4 linked regions of the Oryctolagus cuniculus genome follow. The protein of the gene in region 1 interacts with the protein of each later gene in a biochemical or structural test. Links are inferred from orthologs where the notes say so. Each region holds a gene or a part of one and is shown in the gene's direction. Other genes may lie near its edges.

Region 1 (5,447 bases):
TCTCTCTCTCTCTCTCTCTCTGTAATTCTACCTCTCAAATAAAATCTTAAAAAACAAAAAACAACAACAACCACCACAAAAAAACAGCTGCAAGGCCAAGCCAACAGGGCCAGAAGAGGGCTGGGACTCTCCCCAGGCTCCAGGCCCAGGCGTGATATAGGCCAGGGCATGCTGAAGCATGAGTGTTAGCAGAAATAGGCCCATGCAAGGCTAGCCTGGATGATGTCACAGGCGTGTGCCTTGTGTGGGTGCAAGGCTGCTCCTCTCAGACAGTGCAGCTGCAGGCACTGCCAGCAACACCCACACACCCAGAGAGATGCTGAGCTGGGGGAAGCCCACACCCCAGCCACACCCTTTGTGTGCCCTGCTTTTCCTGAACCTCCTCTGATGGCAAGAGGCACCTGAGCCCTGGGATGCTGGCCCAGAAGTCCCAAGAGGAAAATGGGACCCTGTTCAGTGACTAAAGTCTGGCAGCAGACTGAAAACTCAGGCTCCTGTTGGCAGCCCCTGGGGTCCTGCCACAGAGGCAAGAGTGAAGGCACGGAAGCCTGGGGCTACATGTTGGGAAGCTCCCAGAAGAGAGGAACCTATTTCAAAGGCGCATCACAGCCTGTAGGTCGCTGCAGTTGGCACAGGAAGCTTGGAAAGAACTGCAGCACTTAGGTGCCTCATAGGAAAATGGACAAGACCAGACAGGCAGGGAGGGGCTCTACTCACTGCTCACCCCTCCCCCACACACTCTCCTTCACTGAAGAAACTCCAGCCTTCACTAAACTTAACCACCTCTTTCTGGCCTCCTGCCTGGAAAGTACCTTCCTCCAATCAACTTTTAACAGCTCACCCAGCCACCTACTCCTTCCCATCTGACCTCTGCGGAGCCACAGGGAGGCCTCCTCACTGTGTTTTCTTTTCTTCTTCTTCTTTTTTTTTAAACAGGCAGAGTTAGTAAGAGAGAGAGAGACAGAGAGAAAGGTCTTCCTTCTGTTGGTTCACCCCCCCAAATGGCTGCTATGGCTGGCATGCTGCGCCGATTCAGGAGCCAGGTGCTTCCTCCTGGTCTCCCATGCGGGTGCAGAGCCCAAGCACCTGGGCCACCCTCCACTGCCTTCCCGGGACACAGCAGAGAGCTGGACTGGAAGAGGAGCAACCGGGACAGAATCTGGCGCCCCGACCGGGACTAGAACCCGGTGTGCCAGCGCCGCAGGCGGAGGATTAGCCTAGTGAGCTGCCGCACTGGCAACCTCACTGTGTTTTCTTTCATCTGTTCTTTTCCTCTGGAGCCCTCATCACAAGTGTCTTTACAGAACAGAGTGCTTATTTGTTTAAGGTCTGTTAATCCCCCGAGGGGCTGGGCTGGATCTCCTGTTCTCCTCACGCTTCGCAGCTCAGCGACAGCGGCACTTTGAGTACAAGCCACGCTCTGACCACTAATGTTCTGCCAGGTTCCCTGTGCCAGTAGCCATCTAGCCTCATGCCCACTGACTGCTCACCACCAGGACTTACCTAAGCCAGAGGCCCTCTTGTGAGGCAGAAAACAGAGGTGGATAGGTTCAAGTCCCCAGTTGTGAGTGACGTGGCCGCTCGGTAAGTCATGTAGAACTTCTCTGAACGTCCTCATCAGTAAACTGGGGACCAGTGTCCCTGATTAGAGGGTGATTATGAGGACCACGTGTGATCAGGATCAGCCTGCCTCCCACTTCAAAGGCTTGTCACTAGGTGGCAGTCCATCTCAGCTCCCCCGCTGGCCCTTAGTTGACAGGAGCCTAGTGCTGTGAGCCTTAGGGGCCACACTTGAAGGAACCAAAAGTGCAGGAGCATGCACACACACGCAAGTTACTACCACCGCGAGATAGTCAGAGGCAGCTCCACACACCTAGTACTGGGTGCGGTTGCCTGAACACATGCTCTCCTGTCCTCACAAATCCCAACTCACCTGGATCTTTCTCCGGAAAGCTCTGCTGGGCCGCGCCTCTCTGAAATGCAGCACCTGGCGCAACACGTGTCAGGCATGCCTCCCCATGACCGCAGATGTCCTCAGTTTTCACAGCATTCAGGAAGACGAAGAGGGTGAATGATTCCAGACAGAAGCCTGCTGACGGGAGGAGAGAGAGTGAAGAAGCCAGGAGATAGGAAGGGGCCAGGCCCATCAGAACCTGCTGTGTGCCACTCAGGGCGGGAGAATAGTAGACCAGAGGTAGGTGATCATGGTTTTATTTCTTTTAAAAGATTTAAACATGGAGAACAGACGCAGGTGAGAGAGGCCACGGCCTGGTGGGCTTGCAGGCAAAGTGAACAGGCCTCGGTGGATCTGACCTGGGGCAGACAGAGGAATCGAGGTTACTGGCCAGGTTTTTGGCTTATGCAATCGAGAGGAGTTTGGTGCCATGTTCTGAGAAAGCGAAGGCTGGGGAGCCGTGTGGGAGTGTGGGTGAGGCAGCCGCATTAGGTAGCAACGTGGTGCGGACAGTGGGACGTGGAGGTGGAGGCACTGGTACCGGCGCACTGCGTGAAGTCAGGTCGCTATGGGTACTGGCCCAGGACAGAGTCCAGAGCGAGGTCAGGAAAACCAAAGTTCAGGAGCGCACCTGCAGGAGGGGTGTGAGGCAGGGCCTGAGCCCGCCTCACGGATCCGACCTGCGTCCTGCCTCGTGGGGAACGAGGGCGAGGAGCAACGGGCAACGCCAAGAGAGGGAGAGAGACAGGGCCGCTGGGGGCTACAGGTCAGGTCTCCAGACAGCGCGGGCGCGGGTTTAACGAGCCCTGCGGGGGATGCTCACGCCCGAAGCGCTTCTCCGAGGAAGGGCACCTACGCAAGGGCAGGACGGACGTGGGGTTCGCCTTCGCAAGGGCGGCCTGTGGGCCAGCTCTGCGCGGGCAGGGGGAGGGGGCGGGACAGAACGCTGTCCATCAGAGCCCGCTGACCAATCCTCGGGATGCCCCGCCCCCACTCCTCCCCGAAGAGGGCGCGCGGAGAACCCGCCTCCGCCGCCGCCGCCGCCGCCGCCGCCGCCGCGGGTGTGAGGCGGCCCGGCCTGGCCCGGTTCCCTCCGCCGGGCAATTCGCCCAGGTAATTGGGTTTGGCCAGGCGGACCCGAGGGGCGCGTCGCACCCTCACATCTTCTCCAGGTGGCTGTGCGGGCGGCGCGGAGGCTGCGGTCGGGCCTGTGCGGGACAGTGGGCGGGTGGCTTCGCGTGCACGAGCGCCTGACTGACGGGCCGGTCGGTCGCGGGCCTGCAGCCTGTGGGCGGGGCTGCCGTGCGTGACGGGGCCGGTGGAGGCCCCGCGCCCTGCCGGGGTCGCGTGAGGAAGCTCTGCGGGGCCGAGCGACGGACGGATTGCTTGAGAGCGGGGCGTACCATGGCGCCCCGCGCCCCCGCTTGCGGCCTGGCCGGGGGTCGCGGGGCGCAGGCGCGGTGGGCCGGGGGCGGGGGTCCTCCCCACGGGCGCGCGGGCGCCTTTGTTCCTGGCGCGCGGGCGGGGCGGATCCTCGGGCCGCCCCGCCTTCGGTGTTTAGGCTCCGCCCCGTGTCCGCCCGCAGGAGCCGCCGCCGGGTCCCGGTCGCCGGCCGCCTCAGCTGCCGCCTCCTCCTCCTCCTGCTCCCGGCTCCTCCGGCTTGTGCCGCCGCCGCCGCCCCCAGCGTCGGAGCCATGGCGGGCGCCGCGTCCCCTTGCGCCAATGGCTGCGCTCCCGGCGCGCCCTCGGAAGCCGAGGTGCTGCACCTCTGCCGCAGCCTCGAGGTGGGCACCGTCATGACTTTGTTCTACTCCAAGAAGTCGCAGCGGCCCGAGCGGAAGACCTTCCAGGTCAAACTGGAGACGCGCCAGATCACGTGGAGCCGCGGCGCCGACAAGATCGAGGGGGCCAGTAAGTGCCGCCCCCGGGCCCGCTGCGCGCGCGGGGCTGGCGAGGCGCGCGCGGCCGCGGCCCTCCCTGGCGACTTGGGCAAACTTTGGGCTCTCCCCACCCCCACTGGACCCGCCCCCGCCTCGGCTCCGGTGCTCACTGGGGGGCGGGGATCATCCAAATCCTCGGTCACCTGATAGGACGCCCCCTCCCCCGGCTGGGGGGACTCCTCCAGACGTCTTTCCCTGAGGCCTAAAAAATCCTGGCGGACTGGAGTCCAGCGGGGCAGGCGTCGAGCCCCTCCAGTCCCGGGAAGGAGCGGCGGTGGCGGGCGAGGGGAGCCAAGCTGCGCCCACCCTGCCCGCGATCGGGGCCCGAGGGTCACTGCCCTCCCCCTCTGCAGAAAGAGCGGTGCGAGATTCCCTGGGTCCCAAGGCTGGGCTCTTCATTGCAAGGGAACCTTTGGGTTCCCTGGGTAAAAATTAGGCAGATGTTGAGGTAGGGCTGGTTTTGAAACAGGGCTAGGCCTGCTCATCTGCTTGGGGAGGGAGAAGAAGGTGGTCCTTTCTGTCTTGGCGAAGCCTGAGAAAGGCCGCTTTTACTTGCTGCTGCTTTTGTCCCAAAGCTGAGTTTTTGGAGGCCTATGCCGGTGCCCAAAGCCGGGGCAGGCTCTTGGGTAAAGGGGCTGTGCCCTTGCACTTGGAAGCACCCACCTGAAGCTTGGCCCCAGACAGGCCAGTCCAAGTGCCTTGGCGTCAGGTACTCCTGTCTCAGAGCGGGTAGCCTGTTTGGGGTCTAGCCCTTTGTGTCCTGTGTCCGGTGGCCACAGGGAGCCGACAGTGGCTCCCCCCTTGGTTTCCTGCCTCTGTGCCTTGCCAGGCCTGAGCTTGGCTGCTTTTGCGCAGGTCTCTAGTGGGAGGAGGGGGTTAGGGGATTTTGAAAAAACCCCAGATCTTTCAGTGTGTTACTGCACTCACTGCATGCCTGAGCTGTGGCCGGATGGGCACTCAGCTCTGCCCTCCTTTCTCTCTCGCCTTCCTGTGTGAACAGATGATGTTTCTGTAACCCCAGGCTGTGGGTTGTTTCCTCCAAGGACCCCCCAGAGATGGGTACTAGAACCAGGGGCATGTGGAGAAAGGGGTCAGGAAGCGACAGCCCTGGAGAGGCTCCCACCGAGGTTCTTGGGTCTGGTGTGCATGCGTGTAGATGAGTGAGGAGATTGGGAGGAAGGAAGGTGTTGTGGTAGCAGCCGTCCTCAACTACAAACTTCAGATCTGATAGAGCTGCTGAACCAAGAAATGGCAGCTGCCTTCCTCAGTGCCCTGTCAGCCACTGGAAGAACATTTTAGTGATTTGAGAGACTGGATTCTGAAGTGGAGCAAGAACAGGTTGCAAAGAGCTGGGACAGTTCTGGGAACATCATACTCCAGGTCCACCCTTGCTTTGTGATACTCCCTGTGCTGAGTTGGTGGCAGGAGCTTCCCAGATAGAGATTGCTTGGTATTTTTTAAACCATGTTGGGGACCAGCAGGCAATAATTGTAGCACAGTGTTTGAAGGCAGGTCTGGATTTGAAGCCTGTGTGTTGGTTGTATACTCCTCGC
Region 2 (4,905 bases), on another chromosome or scaffold:
CAGCCGGGACTCGAACCGGTGCCCATATGGGATTCTGGCACTGCAGGCAGTGGCTTTACCTGCTATGCTGGTAAAGCACCGGCCCCGGGCCAAACTCTTAACAGGAGCCAGGCACAGAGGCACAGGGTTGAGAATATTCCTGGTATAATTTGGGAGAGTTTGCAGAAGACAGCTTGGTTAGACCATGGCTGGCCTTGAGCACCACGGGGAAGACTTCTAAGGCTCACGCTCATCTGCCAGTTTAATGGACGTGCTCGTTTGAGTGGACCTGGGCTGAGCACCACGTACTCTGTTCCTCCTCCCAGCTACTCTGCAGTTCTGATGGGGGAGCTGAGAGAGGCAGTCCCACAGGCACCAACACGGCCCCATGGCCTCTGCCTGCATTTTCCTCCAGACCCTCAGTGGAGCCCTTTGCCTGTTCCCCACAGGTCCGCTATGCCACCTGGAGCATCATCATGGACTCCGTGGTTCCCTCCGATAAGGGCAACTACACTTGCATTGTGGAGAACGAGTACGGCAGCATCAACCACACCTACCAACTGGACGTCGTGGGTAAGAGGTGGTGGCGCAGACCTAAGGTGCTTAGGGTATGGAGCGGGCATCAGGGACTCCCGGGATGGCGTCAGGATTGCACTTGCCTTGTCACCTTGAGCGGGTCAGCTCCTCCGTTTGCACTTTACTTTTCCCTATCTGCAAACCAAAGAGCATTAGGTGAGAATGTGTCCCAAAGCCAATGTCGCCATGAACTGGAAAGCACTGTTGACAGTCTACCCTGAAAGACGTGACTGGTTGTTGGGCTGTTACAGGGAGTGCAGTGGTAGCTGTGGCTTGATGAAGGCTCTTGCAAATCTGCTGTCATCCCCACCAGGCAGGCACGCGCCCACTGTACCTGCTGAGGCTCAGAGGTCAGGTGCCTGTGGAATTCCAGGCCCCTGCCGGCTGCTGGATGAGCACCATGCTTCTCAGGGCTGCTCCTGCAGCCGGTCCTAGAGCAGGGGTGGGAACGTCCAGCCCGCAGGCTGTACGAGGCCCACAAAATCACCTTGTCTGGCCCTGCCAGGGCAATCCCAGACGGGACTTTGAAATTCAGTACATGTATAGCAGGCTGATTGTTAAGTTGGATCATTTTATATGGTCCACGAACGACGTTATAAATATCCAAGTGGCCCTTGGCAGAAACAGAGGCTTCCCATCCCCGTTCTGGAGGTAGAGTCCAGCACGCTGGAGATGGAGAGGCCCAGGGACTCTCCGCCAGCCTCCCATCTTGGTGCTGGCCACGTGGTCTCAGCAGGGGGATGGGGTCCAGGCTCTGAGATCCTGCCTTTCTGACTCTCTCTCTCCCAGTTGGCACTGGTGCTGCTGTCCCTGGGCCACACTTTGAACAGCAGTGGTCTCGGCAGCTCTCTGGGAAGCACGTTGTGCTGGGATCTCAGGGTGTTAAGTCCTTTAAGCTACAGGAGACTTATTACTGTGCATAAGTATGGAGCGTGGCCTCGAGGAGGAGTTCCCATGGAGCCTCGAGAGAGGACTCAGGGTGGAGGCACTGGGACCCCGCGGAGATGCAGGACATGCACTGCCCCATCCCCGGGAAAGCCGAGGGGGCACTGCAGGCCCACACGTGTCCTTTCTTCCACAGAGCGGTCGCCTCACCGGCCCATCCTGCAGGCAGGGCTGCCTGCCAACAAGACGGTGGCCCTGGGCAGCAATGTGGAGTTCATGTGTAAGGTGTACAGTGACCCTCAGCCTCACATCCAGTGGCTAAAGCACATCGAGGTCAACGGGAGTAAGATCGGCCCAGACAATCTGCCCTACGTCCAGATCTTGAAGGTAATCACCCTGTCTGCTCGGGATGGGGTGCCAGGACAGAGCCCGCCAGCTCCTGGCGGCTCAGGTTCTGTGGTCAGGCTCAGGGCCTGGGATCGGGACCCAGCCCCTTTCCCAGGAGTGGGGAGAGATGACAGAGTAGAGGTGAGCTGGGAATAGGGGGGCGGTGCTGGTTGTGAAAGCTTTGCCAGTGACTTTGCTTGGAGGGGGATGAAGGCTTTGAAAGGGCGAGACCCCACCCCCACCCCAAAGAAAGAAAGGGGAGCCCTCCAGGTGAGCGTGAGGTCCCCTGCTTTCTCACTGCCCGGGACCAAAGCCTTGGCAGCCAGCCCCTCATGGGCGCTGCCCTACTCCCCGAGCTCTGCTCTTGCTTGGAAGATGCGATGGAGGATGAGGGCACACAGCCTAAGCAGGCTTGGGAAAGCAGGTGCCGCATATAAATTCTACGCAGTGTGAGGAGTAATGGCATTTTCTTCCTTTTCCCTTTCACTCCCAGACTTTGATTGTCCCTGAATGCTCCATTAATCCAGGGAAGGTAATTGCCTAAATCTCCCGTGGATCTTGCGACAGGAAGTGGCCAGAAGCTGGGAAAGCTGTTTACCACCTTGTCCCACAGTTAGACCTCATCCTCCCCAGGCTGCCCGTCCCGAAGATTTACTAGCTGTCCCTTCTCTTGGCTACTGGTGCAGAAATTGTTCTGAAGGAAATGGGGCAGGGGCCTTGGGCTTGGCCCCGTGTCCATTTACAGTCCCTGCCCCAGTCCTGGAGGATGGATTTCACACAGACAGGACATGAGATTTGGGACAGTGGGTGTTTTTGTTTTGTTTTCTTTTCCTTTATGAAATGCTTGGGGCTTTTGATGTCAGCTTGTTCTGTTCCACTAAAACAAGGAGAGATGCAAAGTCCCTTGGACCGCGTCCCTTGCCTGGAAGGTACATGGGAGCAGAGGACGGCCAGGTGGCCACGCTTGCGCGACTGACTGGTGTGTCGTTGGTTTGTTCCAGCATTCGGGGATTAATAGCTCGGATGCAGAGGTGCTGACCTTGTTCAATGTGACAGAGGCCCAGAGCGGGCAGTATGTGTGTAAGGTTTCCAATTATATTGGTGAAGCTAACCAGTCTGCGTGGCTCACTGTCACCAGACCTGTGGCAAAAGGTAATGGGGAGACGGATGGGACCCTGTGCTGGGAATTTCATGTCGGCCCCACGCCCTGGAGCAGTGGGAAGCCAGCGCCGGACTCTCCCTCTTATCTTCTGTATCCTAGTGCCCAGAGCCATGGAAAAATACTCGGCCTGGGAGGCTGGTTTGGTTTAGTTCTGTGTTGGTATCTGCTGGTTCCCTCTGTGCCTTATGTGTGTCCCCTGGCTGGGTGTGTGGCTGTGCGTGGACTCCTGGGGACACAGCCACGCTGTGCTATGAATGATGCTGCAGATCAGAAAAGGGGCCAGGTGTTCCCTTGCAGAGGCCCAGGTCTGCAGGCTGCGTATGTGTGTGTGTGTGTGTGCGTGCACCCTTCCATCCCTCCTGTGTGCCCCCCTCTCCACTTATCTCGACCTGAAACCAAACAGCCACCTACTGGCCGGGCCCCATTTCTCCATGCCGCCCGCTGCCCGCATGCTGGGATGGGCCAGTGGCTGCCGGCGCCTGGTGACGGGTCGTAACCAGCCGTGACCTGCTGGACTTCCTCCCCAGGGCCGCACTCTCTTCCTCTCTAACAGGTCCCGCTGCTGGTGGTTTCTATGTGTTCCTTGTTGCAAAGGAGACGCTGGGGAGCATCTCCCGCTCTGGTGGCCTCCCCTCTGCGCACTCCCCCACCCTTCCCTGTCTCGGTGCCTCCTCGAGGTCTCGCGTCCCGCGCTTGTCCATTCCGCTTCCGTTGTCTCTTCCTAGACTGCCGGAGTTAACACCACTGACAAAGAGATGGAGGTGCTTCACTTGCGGAACGTCTCCTTCGAGGACGCGGGCGAGTATACGTGCTTGGCGGGTAACTCTATCGGACTCTCCCATCACTCTGCATGGCTGACCGTTCTGGAAGGTATACACTGCACTGCTCCTCTCGCTGTCCTGCCCTCGCCATGGGCACGGGGGAGCATGCATTGTGGGGCCGGCGGGGGAGACACAGAGCCCCGGGAGAGAGAGAGCAGTGGGCTCTTGCCTGCCGCACGCCCTGTTGGCTGTGGCATTGAAGGCTCGCTATGGAGCTTTCCTGGTCTTGCGGGAACAACAGCAGCCTCCCACTGGTGCACCTGCGTCTGGCTCTGTCCCCTCCGTGGCCAATGCAATGCATGCTGGGGATCTGGATTCATTTCGGCAGCCGGGCTCTCCTGCAGGGCAGGCTTCTCCTGTCCTTGGGTCCTGCAGCCTCCCCTAGGTCCCTGGGTGTCTGAGATACCTGATTTATTTATTTATTTTATTTTTTTATTTTTTTGCACCAATCCCAAAAGTTTGAGAAAGAGCCCTGCTCTTCACACTGCATGTAGGCCCTCAGCCCAGAGGTGCTCAATGCTTGTAGGGAGCGGCACTTGTCCAGCCTGCATGCCAGGTCCTCTGGCTGGGGAGAAGCCACCTTTCTAGACAAGTGAACACGACCTGCTCTAAGTCAGGCCTGCCTCAGGCAGCCTCAGTGGGGCCATGGCAGTCCCCCTGCATCCTCTCTGGCTGCTGTCCCCGGCGGGAGGTCTGTGTCGAGCCAGGAAGGAAGAAGCCTGCAGCTGTGCAGGGTGGTGGTGACCGGAGCTGGGTGTGCTGCATCTCCGCGTGTCCCGCATGTGGGTCTGGGTGCCATCTGCTCTCCTGTCTGACTCCGCCCCCTTCTGTCCTCACCCCCCTCCACTTGAGGCACAGAAGTGTTCTCTGTTTTCATCGTCGTCCTGTCTTCGTCCCGTCTGTCTGTGCACCCCATCATTTGTCTTTTGTTTCTCGACGTTGGGGAAAGGAGTAAAACAGAAACACTTCTGTCATCAGCTCTGTCGTCTGCCGGTCAGGCCTTGAGGTCCTCAAGGGCCTGGGCCTGGGCCTCGTCCTGTGCCTCTCTCTGGGTTGGGGTGGGGATAACTCCCGCCACCTCTGTGGCTGGCTGCA
Region 3 (4,905 bases), on another chromosome or scaffold:
ACCCAAACCAAAATGCAGTGTCAGCCCCAAATCCACCCCGAATCCCAGCCTACTCTTCCTGCCTGACCAGAACCCCAGCTCCAATCTGATTTTTAATCCTGCCCACCATCCTAGGCCCAGCCAGCCCCCTTCCTAAATTCAGCTAAGCCCAGACACAGAACTCCAACTCCAAGCCCAGCCTCAAAGCTGGGCCCCACACCAACAGCCGTAAATTCAGCACTTGCTGTTGGCCCAACCCCAACTTGCACCTGGCTCCTTTGGCTCTAAAGTCTGAAGCTCCGCCCCCAGAAGGCGGGGCTCCTTGGGCACCCACTTGATACCCCGCCCCCAGAAGGCGGGGCTCCTTGGGCGCCCACTTGATACCCCGCCCCCGGTAGGCACTGCCCCATTGGTGGCCGGGCATGGCCCCGCCCTGACGGCCCGCCCCTTGCAGAGAGCGGCTACGTGCGGCTGCTGGGAGAGCTGGGCGCGCTGCAGTTCGCCGACCTGCACCGGAGCCGTACGCTGCAGGTGGTGTTCGAGGCCTACCCTCCGCCCACCGTCCTGTGGTTCAAGGACAACCGCACCCTGGGTGACTCCAGCGCCGGCGAGATCGCCCTGTCCACACGCAATGTGTCTGAGACCCGGTGAGCAGCCACTTGGCGCACCCAGGCCCACCTCCGGCACCCTGGGGGGCGCTGAGGCTGCGGCGCAACCAGAGCAGGGTCCATCCTTCCTTGAGCATCTGGTCCAGCGGGGGGACATGGTGCCAGCCAGATGGTCACTCAGACACTTGTGATGAGCAGAGCTGCAGGTGGTAGCCACAGGAACGGGCCCGAGCCGCTACCTAGGAAGCTTGGCCCTGCTACCTAGGAAGCCCGAGCTAGATACTGGCGGATACCAGTGGGGATAAAGCATGCCAGACCCTCAGGAAGGGGGTGGAATAGGGCCTCCCTGCCCACTCCCAGTCCCTCCCGGGCCTCGCCTGGGACACCTGTGCGACTCCCAGGGCCTTGTTTCTCCTGCTTGTACAGGGGAGCAGGGGGCGGGGGCTGGAGGAGCCCTTCCTGCTCTGACAGCTGGCTCTCCCGGCCTGCGCTGCTCCCCAGGTACGTGTCAGAACTGACGCTGGTGCGGGTGAAGGTGGCGGAGGCGGGCAGGTACACCATGCGGGCTTTCCACGAGGACGCCGAGGCACAGCTCTCCTTCCAGCTGCAGGTCAACGGTGAGGGCCACCCCTGCCCCCTTCCCTGCTGCGTCTTCCCGCATCCACGCAGGAAGCTGGAACCCAGGAGACTGCGTCCTGGGACCCTGCCTGTGGCCCTCTGATCCAGGGGTGTCCTCTCCCTGGGCCTCGGTTTCCCCACCTGTCCAAGGTGGCCTTGGCTAGATGGGTATTTCTAAAACCTCAGGCATTCATGCACCAAGGTCACAAGTTTCCCTCCTTGCATCACACTCGTTGTACAGTAGGGGGAGCTGCGGGCTAGTTCTGTAGGTTAGAAGGTAACAAGGGGAAAAAAGCAGAGTCAGGCTCAGGAGGGTGGTGAGCAGGGTGGGCCTCACGGGGGAGGTGCCGTCTGCTCTACGACTTGAAGACTGTGAGGGAATTGGCCAAGCGGATGTTGGGTGCAAGGCAGGGCAGAGGCCAGAGCCATGGCAGAAAGGCCTGAGTGGCCAGAACAGAGGGAGGGGAGGTCAGAGAGCAGGGAGGCAGTGGGGGGTGGGCAGAGGGCGGGTCCCTGAGGGCCCGGTCCAGCTTCACCACAGCCCAGATGAAGAGCCTTCCCAGGGTTCCGAGCTGACGGATGACACGATCCTGACTCCGTATTTCGTCAATCGGCTCGCCCAAAATAAGCTTATTTTGAAAGACAAAATATAACCTCCCAATTGTAGATGGAAAATCAGCGTCACATGTCCTGAGTCTAAGGCAGCCACTAAAATAAACTCAGAGGAAACAAAACAATGCGATTACTCGCCAGCTTTGTGAGTGTGGCCACCCCAGCTCCCTTCTTGTTAAAAGGGAAGATTAGCAAGTCTCAGAGAGGCGTTAAAGACACAGCAGCCAGCAGCCCCTCCTGAGGCTTGCCCTTTGAAGCTCCCTGGAGGGGGGTCCTTCCTGGTAGTCCGTGTTCACCTGCTTTTAATGTTTGCCTCCCTGTCCCCCCCAACCCCCAGGGGACCTGAGCAGGTCCTCCCTGGCCAGTCCCTTCCTGCTGACCCCACACTTCCTGGCCCTGTCCCCTCTCCCCACAGTCCCTGTCCGTGTGCTGGAGCTGAGCGAGAGCCACCTCGCCAGTGGGGAGCAGATAGTTCGCTGTCGTGGCCGGGGCATGCCTCAGCCGAATGTCACCTGGTTTACCTGCAGAGACCTGAAAAGGTGAGCCCACCCCGGCCGGGCTCGGTCTCCTGGGCACCCACAGCCCGTGTCTAGTCCAGCCCTCTCCTCTGCAAACGCTGCTCCAGGCTACAGCCACATCCTGGAAGGCCAGCCTGCCACCTCCTCAGACACTGCATGACCCGAATTGTGGCTTCTCCTGACCTTGATCCCTGAGTGCCCCGGGGACCTCACTTGATCAGGGTGGTTCTCGCGTGATAGAGAGAGGCAGGGTTCAATTCAGGTTCTGCCTCTACCCCTGACACGGCCCCCAGCTGTGAGACCCTGGAGGCAAATGAGTGGAGTGGATCTCACAACCTGGGGTTTTCCGTTGTGGAATGGGATCGCCCCCTGCTGGTCATTCGAGGGAGCACGGCGCCGAAGCCCGGGCAGAGGGAGGCATCAGGGGACTGGACAAGCCCTCCTTGCTTCCCCCACCACTTGACGGCTCTGCCTGCAGGTGCCCGTCCGAGCTGCCGCCCACGCCGCTGGGGAACCGCTCCGAGGACGAGAGCCAGCTAGAGACCAACGTGACGTACTGGGCGGAGGAGCAGGAGTTTGAGGTGGTGAGCACACTGCGCCTGCGCCACGTGGATCAGCCGCTGTCGGTGCGCTGTGTGCTGCGCAACCTGCGTGACTACGACACCAAGGAGGTCACCGTGGTGCCGCATTGTGAGTCCGCCGGCGTCCCTCCCCCCGCCACGCCCCTGCATTCCTGGTGACTGTGCCCAGGCGTCCGTAGCAGCCCAGAGCACTGTGAAACTGGTCAGGGCACACACATGTGTGCAAACACAGGTCTATAAACTGGATGTGAACGAAACTATATGTGTGTGGCACGTGTAACCCGTCTGTGCACCTGTGCCACATGCCTGGCACATAGGGATCTGTGAACTGGGTTCTGAGAGGTGCCTGATCCCCAGAGACGCGGGTGAAGCTGGCAGGTGCATCTGGGAGCCTGGACTTGGATGCCTGGTGGTCTGGGTAGCCGCTGAGGGCGTGTATGTGAGCGTGATGTGAGCATGCCTAGTCCCTGGGTGGGCAGGCCCCTGGACTTGTCCATGCACGTGCCTGTGTGTGCACAGACCTGCCTCCTGGCCCCTGCCCTGTGGTGCGTGGGTGGGTTTCCTACTTCCAGCATCACCCTCATGCTCCCTGTGGGCACACATATCCCTGGGCCAGCTGCTGTGTGGTCGGACAGTGTAGACAGCGGCCCATAGACCAGCTCTGAGCAAAAGCAGAGGTGAAGCTGTAGTGTGGTGCCCGGAGGGGATGCCATGCACCAACCAGGGACAGCTGGGGTGGCTGGAGGAAGGCTCCCCTTCCTTACTCAGAGTGGGCTCCCAGAGAGATGGGGGCTTGCTTCCTAGGATGGAGGTGTGGCTGGTACAAGTGACATGGGCCAGGGACCCTGAGCAGGAAGTGTGGGGAGGAGACCCTGGGGAGGCAAGACAGGGCTCTCTGGGGGGTAGAGAAGGGCAGGTGGGAGGGAGAGTTTCCAGGGTGCCCAGTGGGCAGGGCAGGGGAGAGTCTGTCCCAGGTGGATGGGGGTGGGGTGAGGACGTGTGCAGCAAAGCTGTGAAGGAGACTCTGGCTTGGGGGTCCCAGTGTGGGGCCTGTGTGCTTAGTGAGGTAACCCTGAGGACGCACTTCACAGCACTTGTCATTGCCCGACCTCCCTTCCCAGCCCACCCCCACCCCATGCTCCTGGGTGGAACTGGGCAGGAGGCGCAGCTTCCTGCCCCTCAGGGCTGCCCCCGCAGGCCATTGGCCACTGAGTCAGGCATGGAACTCAGCTCAGGTCCACTCAGGCATGGTTTCAGAGAAGTGAGAGTGGCCCAGGCCGCATGGCAGGCCCAGGCAGTGGACAGGATGAAGGCAAGGGGTTTGGCCCTGGCACGGGCAGAAGGTGGTGAGGCCGGCAGAGAGCTGGGGTCATTGCTGGGAGGTATGGGGTGTCTGCCGGGGAAGCTAAAGACGTGACCAGAGCCAGGACGGAGAGGCTGACCTGGTGGGCCGCTGGGCAGGGTCACAGAGGGGTGGGAAGTGAGGACAGGTGACCTGTGAGGCCAGCGGTCGGTGGAGTGAAGGAGGCAGCTGCCCGGGCCCTGCTTACCCAGGGCCTGCTCTGCTCCCTGCCCCCAGCGCTGCCCTTCAAAGTGGTGGTGATCTCGGCCATCCTGGCCTTGGTGGTGCTCACGATCATCTCCCTCATCATCCTCATCATGATCTGGCAGAAGGTGAGTGCTCCCCACCCCCAGCCAGGAGCCCCCTTCTGCAGGGGCTCCCCCGCCCTCGCGCCCTCCTGGAACCCTGCTTGAGTTGACCGCATGCGGGGCGCAGCCTGGGGCTCAGGTGGGGATTTATAGAGAATGACGCTGGGCGTCTGAGCCGCCTCCACCCCCAGCAGCCTGGGCTATCCGGGACTTCCGGCTGCGACTGCGCCCCAGGCCCCCTGCTCCGGCATCGTCCCTCCCATCCCAGCCGCAGTGCACTGGCTTCAGGGTTCTTCGGGCTCCCCGCATGGACACACCTGGGTCCACTGAGGAGCACTG
Region 4 (4,905 bases), on another chromosome or scaffold:
ATGCATTTAGTCAGGCCATGCAGCTCTAGTGTCATACCACATACTATGCTTTTTTGTCCTACAAATCTGAGTTTCCCCCCTTCTATTAGAAGGCATTTGAGTTTGCATTCTTTGGCCCAAGTTATATATTGCTTGAGGAAAAGGTGGTATAAGTTTCATTTTGTGCCTACTAGGTTAGTGACTCTCAGATTTCACTGTGCTTTGAAATCCTCCAGAATGCTTAGGAAACACATTGGTCCTTGCACCCTCCCTCCCCCAACACTTATCAAAACACATCACCTGATGGTGGGGTCCTAGAGTGTGTATTCTAAATAAATGCCTTAGGTGACTTTAGCATAGGTGCTCGGGGGCAATACTTTGAGACACACTGCCTTTGGCTCTTCATCCAGAAGTATCTGGCCCATAGCAGGTACTCATTTATGTTTGCTGTTGAGTCTACTTCTTTGAGAACAAGCATCAAGAAAGGGTATTTCATCTTCATCCTTCTTCTAAAAATAAGGTTCTTCTAATAACCGTAGAATCCTAATGAGTCCCTGTTGGATGAAATCTCAGAAATTACCTGGCCAACCAATTCATTTTGTTGATAAGAAAACTGAGGCCCAGATTGCTTTTATTTGTTTATTGAGCACTCACTGAGAGTCTGTGCTAGCTCGTGTTTCTGCATGAGCCCTCTTTGAATCCACCCACATCTTTCATTCCCCCTCCACCAAGGCCTTGCAGAGTGCTACGTACATAGTGGATGCTCATGATGCACACATGAATGAGTCGATCATCGAGTCCTGTGAAATTTACTCTGTAGGAAACTTGACAATGCAAGATTATAATCAAGCGTAGAAGAAGTTGGAGCCTTGAAACAATCCTCCTTTCTTTCCTATTTTGATCACTGCCCTTCTCATCTTCCTTTCATGTAATCTGCCTACACATGGTTTTCATTATTTTAAGTGCATATCCTGTTTGGGAAGGGGTAATAATTTTATCTGTAACAGCTCTAAGTCTAGGACTTACACTCTTACCATCTTTGAGTTATACAGGTACTCAAAACAGGCATGACTTCTAGGTAGGGCTAGATAATCCCCTGGTAGCCCTATACCTCATCAGTTGCCTTCTCTGAAAAAACTCTCTTTCTGTGTTCCAGGAAAGTGGGTGATCGACCCCTCAGAGCTCACTTTTGTGCAGGAGATTGGCAGCGGGCAGTTTGGATTGGTGCATCTTGGTTACTGGCTCAACAAGGACAAGGTAGCCATTAAAACCATTCAGGAGGGAGCTATGTCAGAAGAGGACTTCATAGAGGAGGCTGAAGTCATGATGTGAGTCCCCAAAACAAGGACATGCAGACACCCTGGGAAGGATGCTCTGTGCTGGATTGTTTAAATACCATTCTGATGCCATGCTGTGCCACTTTCCTGCCCAAATCCCAGCAGTGGCTCCCTATGGCATAGAAAGTAAAATGAAACTCCCCACCGTGGTCCACAAAACCCTTGCTCACCTCCCAGTCTCATCACCTATCCAGCTTTCCTCCGGTCCGTGACGTGCCAGCCGCACTGGCCTCCATCAGTCCTCACATCCACCAGCAGACCCTTTGCCCCCCTCAGGTCTCAGCTCTAGTGACATGGTTTTGTTCAGGGGAGGGTATGGATTTAGTTTTCAAAACCATGAGTTGGATGAAGGGATCATCAACTATTTTGGTGCCATAAAATGTTCAGCACTTTTGGGATACTGAATTGGGGCCATTTCACCTCTTTCTTTTTTTCTTCCAGGAAACTCTCTCACCCCAAACTTGTCCAGCTCTACGGAGTGTGCCTGGAGCAGGCACCCATCTGTCTGGTGTTCGAGTTCATGGAGCACGGCTGCCTATCAGATTACCTGCGCACTCAGCGGGGGCTCTTTGCCACGGAGACCCTGCTGGGCATGTGCCTGGACGTGTGCGAGGGCATGGCCTACCTGGAAGAGGCGTGCGTCATCCACAGAGACCTGGTATGGGTGTGCTGTGGGGGAGCAGCTGCAGGTGCAGGATGAAGGGCACGGGCCGCTGCAACAGAGAGAAAGTCAGACCAGGGATGTATTAATGAGCAGACTGATCAAGGGCCATCTCCCTTCCTCTTTCAACTTCTCTCTACCTCTACCTACTTTGGGAGGGCCCAGTGGAAAAGAACTAAAACTGGCCTCCAATCCTGGCCCCACTGCTAGCTTGCCCTATTTGTGTTTCATTCTTCCAAACTGGAACACACAGACCCTCTGTCTTAGCTTCTGTGTGCTTCAGTTTCCTCCTGGTAAGATGTGGGCCACGGACAACACAGCTTTTCTTACAGTGTTATCCAACAGTCTGCCAGAATCTCATCCTGAAACCATCTGGAGACTCTCTGGGGGTTTTAACCTGCATCCCCTTGTGATTTGTAGGCACTTTAAAATTTGCAGCTCTAAGAGTTCTTCCAGTACAATATTACATTGCACCATGAACAAACTCTTGGTTAGACAACACCATGGATCTGTCTTCTAATTAGGAACTAGCTGTGGAGATAAATTTACCTATGCTGACAAAAGATCTTACATTGGACTTTCTCACTAACTTGCAGGAGGCATGTGGGAAACCCATTAACATTTGTGAAGCTCCCCAAAGCCCTTGTATAATAGCATTAGGAAAAACACAGCACGGTGATTGCAGAAGACTTCTTAACTGCTAATTACACACCAATGGTTTTCCTCCCCTTTTGTCTGCCTGTCCCTCTCTAGGCTGCCCGAAACTGTTTGGTGGGAGAAAACCAGGTCATCAAGGTGTCGGACTTCGGGATGACGAGGTAACGTGGGAGTGATGCCTGTTGAGTGGCAGGAGTGGGAGGCCGGTAGCAAGCACTGAGACCTCCCCCTCCCTCCCTTCCCAGGTTCGTCCTTGATGATCAGTACACGAGTTCCACAGGCACCAAGTTCCCAGTGAAGTGGGCCTCTCCAGAAGTCTTCTCCTTCAGTCGCTACAGCAGCAAGTCAGACGTGTGGTCCTTTGGTGAGTGTCACCCTGGCGCCACCCTGATGTGGCCTGGGACTCTTGGCCAAATGCTTTCTTCCTTCTTTCCTTCCCTCCCTCCCTCCCTCCCTCCCTCCCTCCCTCCCTCCTTTCCTTCCTTCCTTCCTTCCTTCCTTCCTTCCTTCCTTCCTTCCTTCCTTCCTTCTTTTTCAAGATTTATTTGTTTATTTGAAAGGCAGAGTCACAAAGAGAGAAGGAGAGATTGACAGAGAGAAAGATATCTTACAAATACTGGTTCACTCCCCCAAATGGCTGCAATGGTCAGGGCTAGGCCAGGCCAAAGCCAGGAGCCAGAAACTCCATCCAGGTCTCCTGTGTGGTTGGCAGGGGTCCAAGCACTTGGGCCATCTTCCACTGCTATCCTAGGTGCATTAGCAGGGAACTGGATTGGAAATGGAGCAGCAGGGACTTGAACCAGTGCTCAAATGGGATGCCTGCATTGCAGATGGCAGCTTTACCTGCTACGCCACAATGCCAGGCCCCCAGATATTTTCTTTGTCAATGGCAGACAACTCTATTTGTCTAAACCCTATGTTCTGAAGATATTCCACTCAGAGTCTGTGTAAGAACAACCCAGAAAAGTCTGAAGGAGCCCTTGTTACTGGATTTGAAATGGGGGCGGGGGGTGGAGACAAAGATGAAAATGGGAATAGGAGTCTTGTGGCAGCTACTGTGAGATCAGAATCCGGGGAGTCATGAGTTTGAATATGAGCACCTGAAGGGCAGGGACCATGCATTGGCGAGTTTTGTATTCCACATTTAGCCCTCAATAGGCATTTTACTCGCTTAATAGCAGTTCATTGAGCAACTACTTTGTGCCAGAGGCCAGTCTAAGCACTGAGGATGCAGTGGTGCCTAGGACAGAAAAGACTCCAATGCTTCTGAAACTAAATGTTAGGCGAGGAGAGGGGTGGGCAGCCAGTGTTGTGGTACAGGCAGGTTAAACTATTGCTCAAGAAACCTGTATTCCTTATCAGAGTCCTACCATGTACCCTGGGAGGCGGCAGATTATGGTTCAGGTATTCAGATCCCTGCTACGCATGTAGGAAACACAAATGGAGTTCCTGGCACCTGGCTTCTGTCAGGCCCAGTCCCACCTGTTGTGGGAATAGCCAGCAGAAGGAAGATTCATTCTTTCTCCCTCTCCCTCTCCCTCCTCTTCTTCCTCCCCTCCCCTCCCACTCCCCTCTTCCTTCCCCTACCCCCTCCCCCCATTTCCCTCTCTCCCTCTCAGTCAAATAATTAAATAAGCTTTAAAAGTTTTAGAGGAAAGCTGATTTCAGAATAAGCTAATCACTCTAAGCTAGCAGATATAAGGGAAAGTCAGGTAGGGAAATATTGGTCCTATGACTATAATAAAACGGCAGCAGAATGAGAGGGACCGGGATGGAGGAAGGGCCTGCTTTAGTGAGTGTGATCTGAGAAGCCTTTCCGAGGAGGGGCCTCTGGAGCAGAGACTTGAATCATGAGAGGAAGCGGTCAGTGCTCCAAGAGGCAAGGAAAGCAAGGACGAGAGCTCAGTCACGTCCATAGCACACAGAGCACTGCCCTAGGTTGAAGTGGGGAAACAGAGTGGGAAGGCCGTGGGAAGGAATTACAGTTTCTAAAAAGTGCAGACAGCATGCGTGAGTGAATGGTGCCGGTGTGGCAGGAAATGCTGAGTGCTGATGCTGGATTCTTCACGTCGTGCTGCGTTGTAGTGTGTGCACACTGCCTGGTTGAACAACCGGACAGTCTCTGATTTGGATGTCAAGAGGGGTAATACACTAGACGGGAACTTCCTAAGCATGGGTTTTGCCATTCTGTGTGAAGGAAGGCTTTGGGGAGGATTCACTAGTGGTAGAAGCCAGAGGGGAGCTGGCTAATTAAGTATTTTGGGAATATTA

Evidence for each region. The genes of interacting proteins can lie anywhere in the genome.
Region 2: the proteins of PLCG1 (region 1) and FGFR1 form a complex in vitro, tested with the Homo sapiens proteins (4 studies listed by BioGRID and IntAct, with this or other methods). The link is inferred for Oryctolagus cuniculus from reciprocal best matches to the Homo sapiens genes PLCG1 and FGFR1.
Region 3: the proteins of PLCG1 (region 1) and PDGFRB form a complex in vitro, tested with the Homo sapiens proteins (3 studies listed by BioGRID and IntAct, with this or other methods). The link is inferred for Oryctolagus cuniculus from reciprocal best matches to the Homo sapiens genes PLCG1 and PDGFRB.
Region 4: the proteins of PLCG1 (region 1) and ITK form a complex in vitro, tested with the Homo sapiens proteins (2 studies listed by BioGRID, with this or other methods). The link is inferred for Oryctolagus cuniculus from reciprocal best matches to the Homo sapiens genes PLCG1 and ITK.

What each region holds. Positions count from the first base shown.
Region 1 is NC_091442.1:17,799,021-17,804,467, reverse strand, and holds the start of PLCG1 (1-phosphatidylinositol 4,5-bisphosphate phosphodiesterase gamma-1), read left to right. Parts: upstream 1-2,178; 5' UTR 2,179-2,194; intron 2,195-2,941; exon of another isoform or gene 2,942-3,067; intron 3,068-3,111; exon of another isoform or gene 3,112-3,126; intron 3,127-3,539; 5' UTR 3,540-3,648; coding exon 3,649-3,865; intron 3,866-5,447. UniProt on the Homo sapiens protein: Mediates the production of the second messenger molecules diacylglycerol (DAG) and inositol 1,4,5-trisphosphate (IP3). Plays an important role in the regulation of intracellular signaling cascades.
Region 2 is NC_091433.1:88,160,083-88,164,987, reverse strand, and holds part of FGFR1 (fibroblast growth factor receptor 1), read left to right. Parts: intron 1-428; coding exon 429-552; intron 553-1,636; coding exon 1,637-1,827; intron 1,828-2,828; coding exon 2,829-2,979; intron 2,980-3,714; coding exon of another isoform or gene 3,715-3,859; intron 3,860-4,905. UniProt on the Homo sapiens protein: Tyrosine-protein kinase that acts as a cell-surface receptor for fibroblast growth factors and plays an essential role in the regulation of embryonic development, cell proliferation, differentiation and migration.
Region 3 is NC_091437.1:37,438,318-37,443,222, reverse strand, and holds part of PDGFRB (platelet-derived growth factor receptor beta), read left to right. Parts: intron 1-433; coding exon 434-626; intron 627-1,088; coding exon 1,089-1,204; intron 1,205-2,232; coding exon 2,233-2,356; intron 2,357-2,813; coding exon 2,814-3,025; intron 3,026-4,495; coding exon 4,496-4,590; intron 4,591-4,905. UniProt on the Homo sapiens protein: Tyrosine-protein kinase that acts as a cell-surface receptor for homodimeric PDGFB and PDGFD and for heterodimers formed by PDGFA and PDGFB, and plays an essential role in the regulation of embryonic development, cell proliferation, survival, differentiation, chemotaxis and migration.
Region 4 is NC_091437.1:44,206,647-44,211,551, forward strand, and holds part of ITK (tyrosine-protein kinase ITK/TSK), read left to right. Parts: intron 1-1,135; coding exon 1,136-1,307; intron 1,308-1,757; coding exon 1,758-1,974; intron 1,975-2,730; coding exon 2,731-2,795; intron 2,796-2,879; coding exon 2,880-2,998; intron 2,999-4,905. UniProt on the Homo sapiens protein: Tyrosine kinase that plays an essential role in regulation of the adaptive immune response. Regulates the development, function and differentiation of conventional T-cells and nonconventional NKT-cells.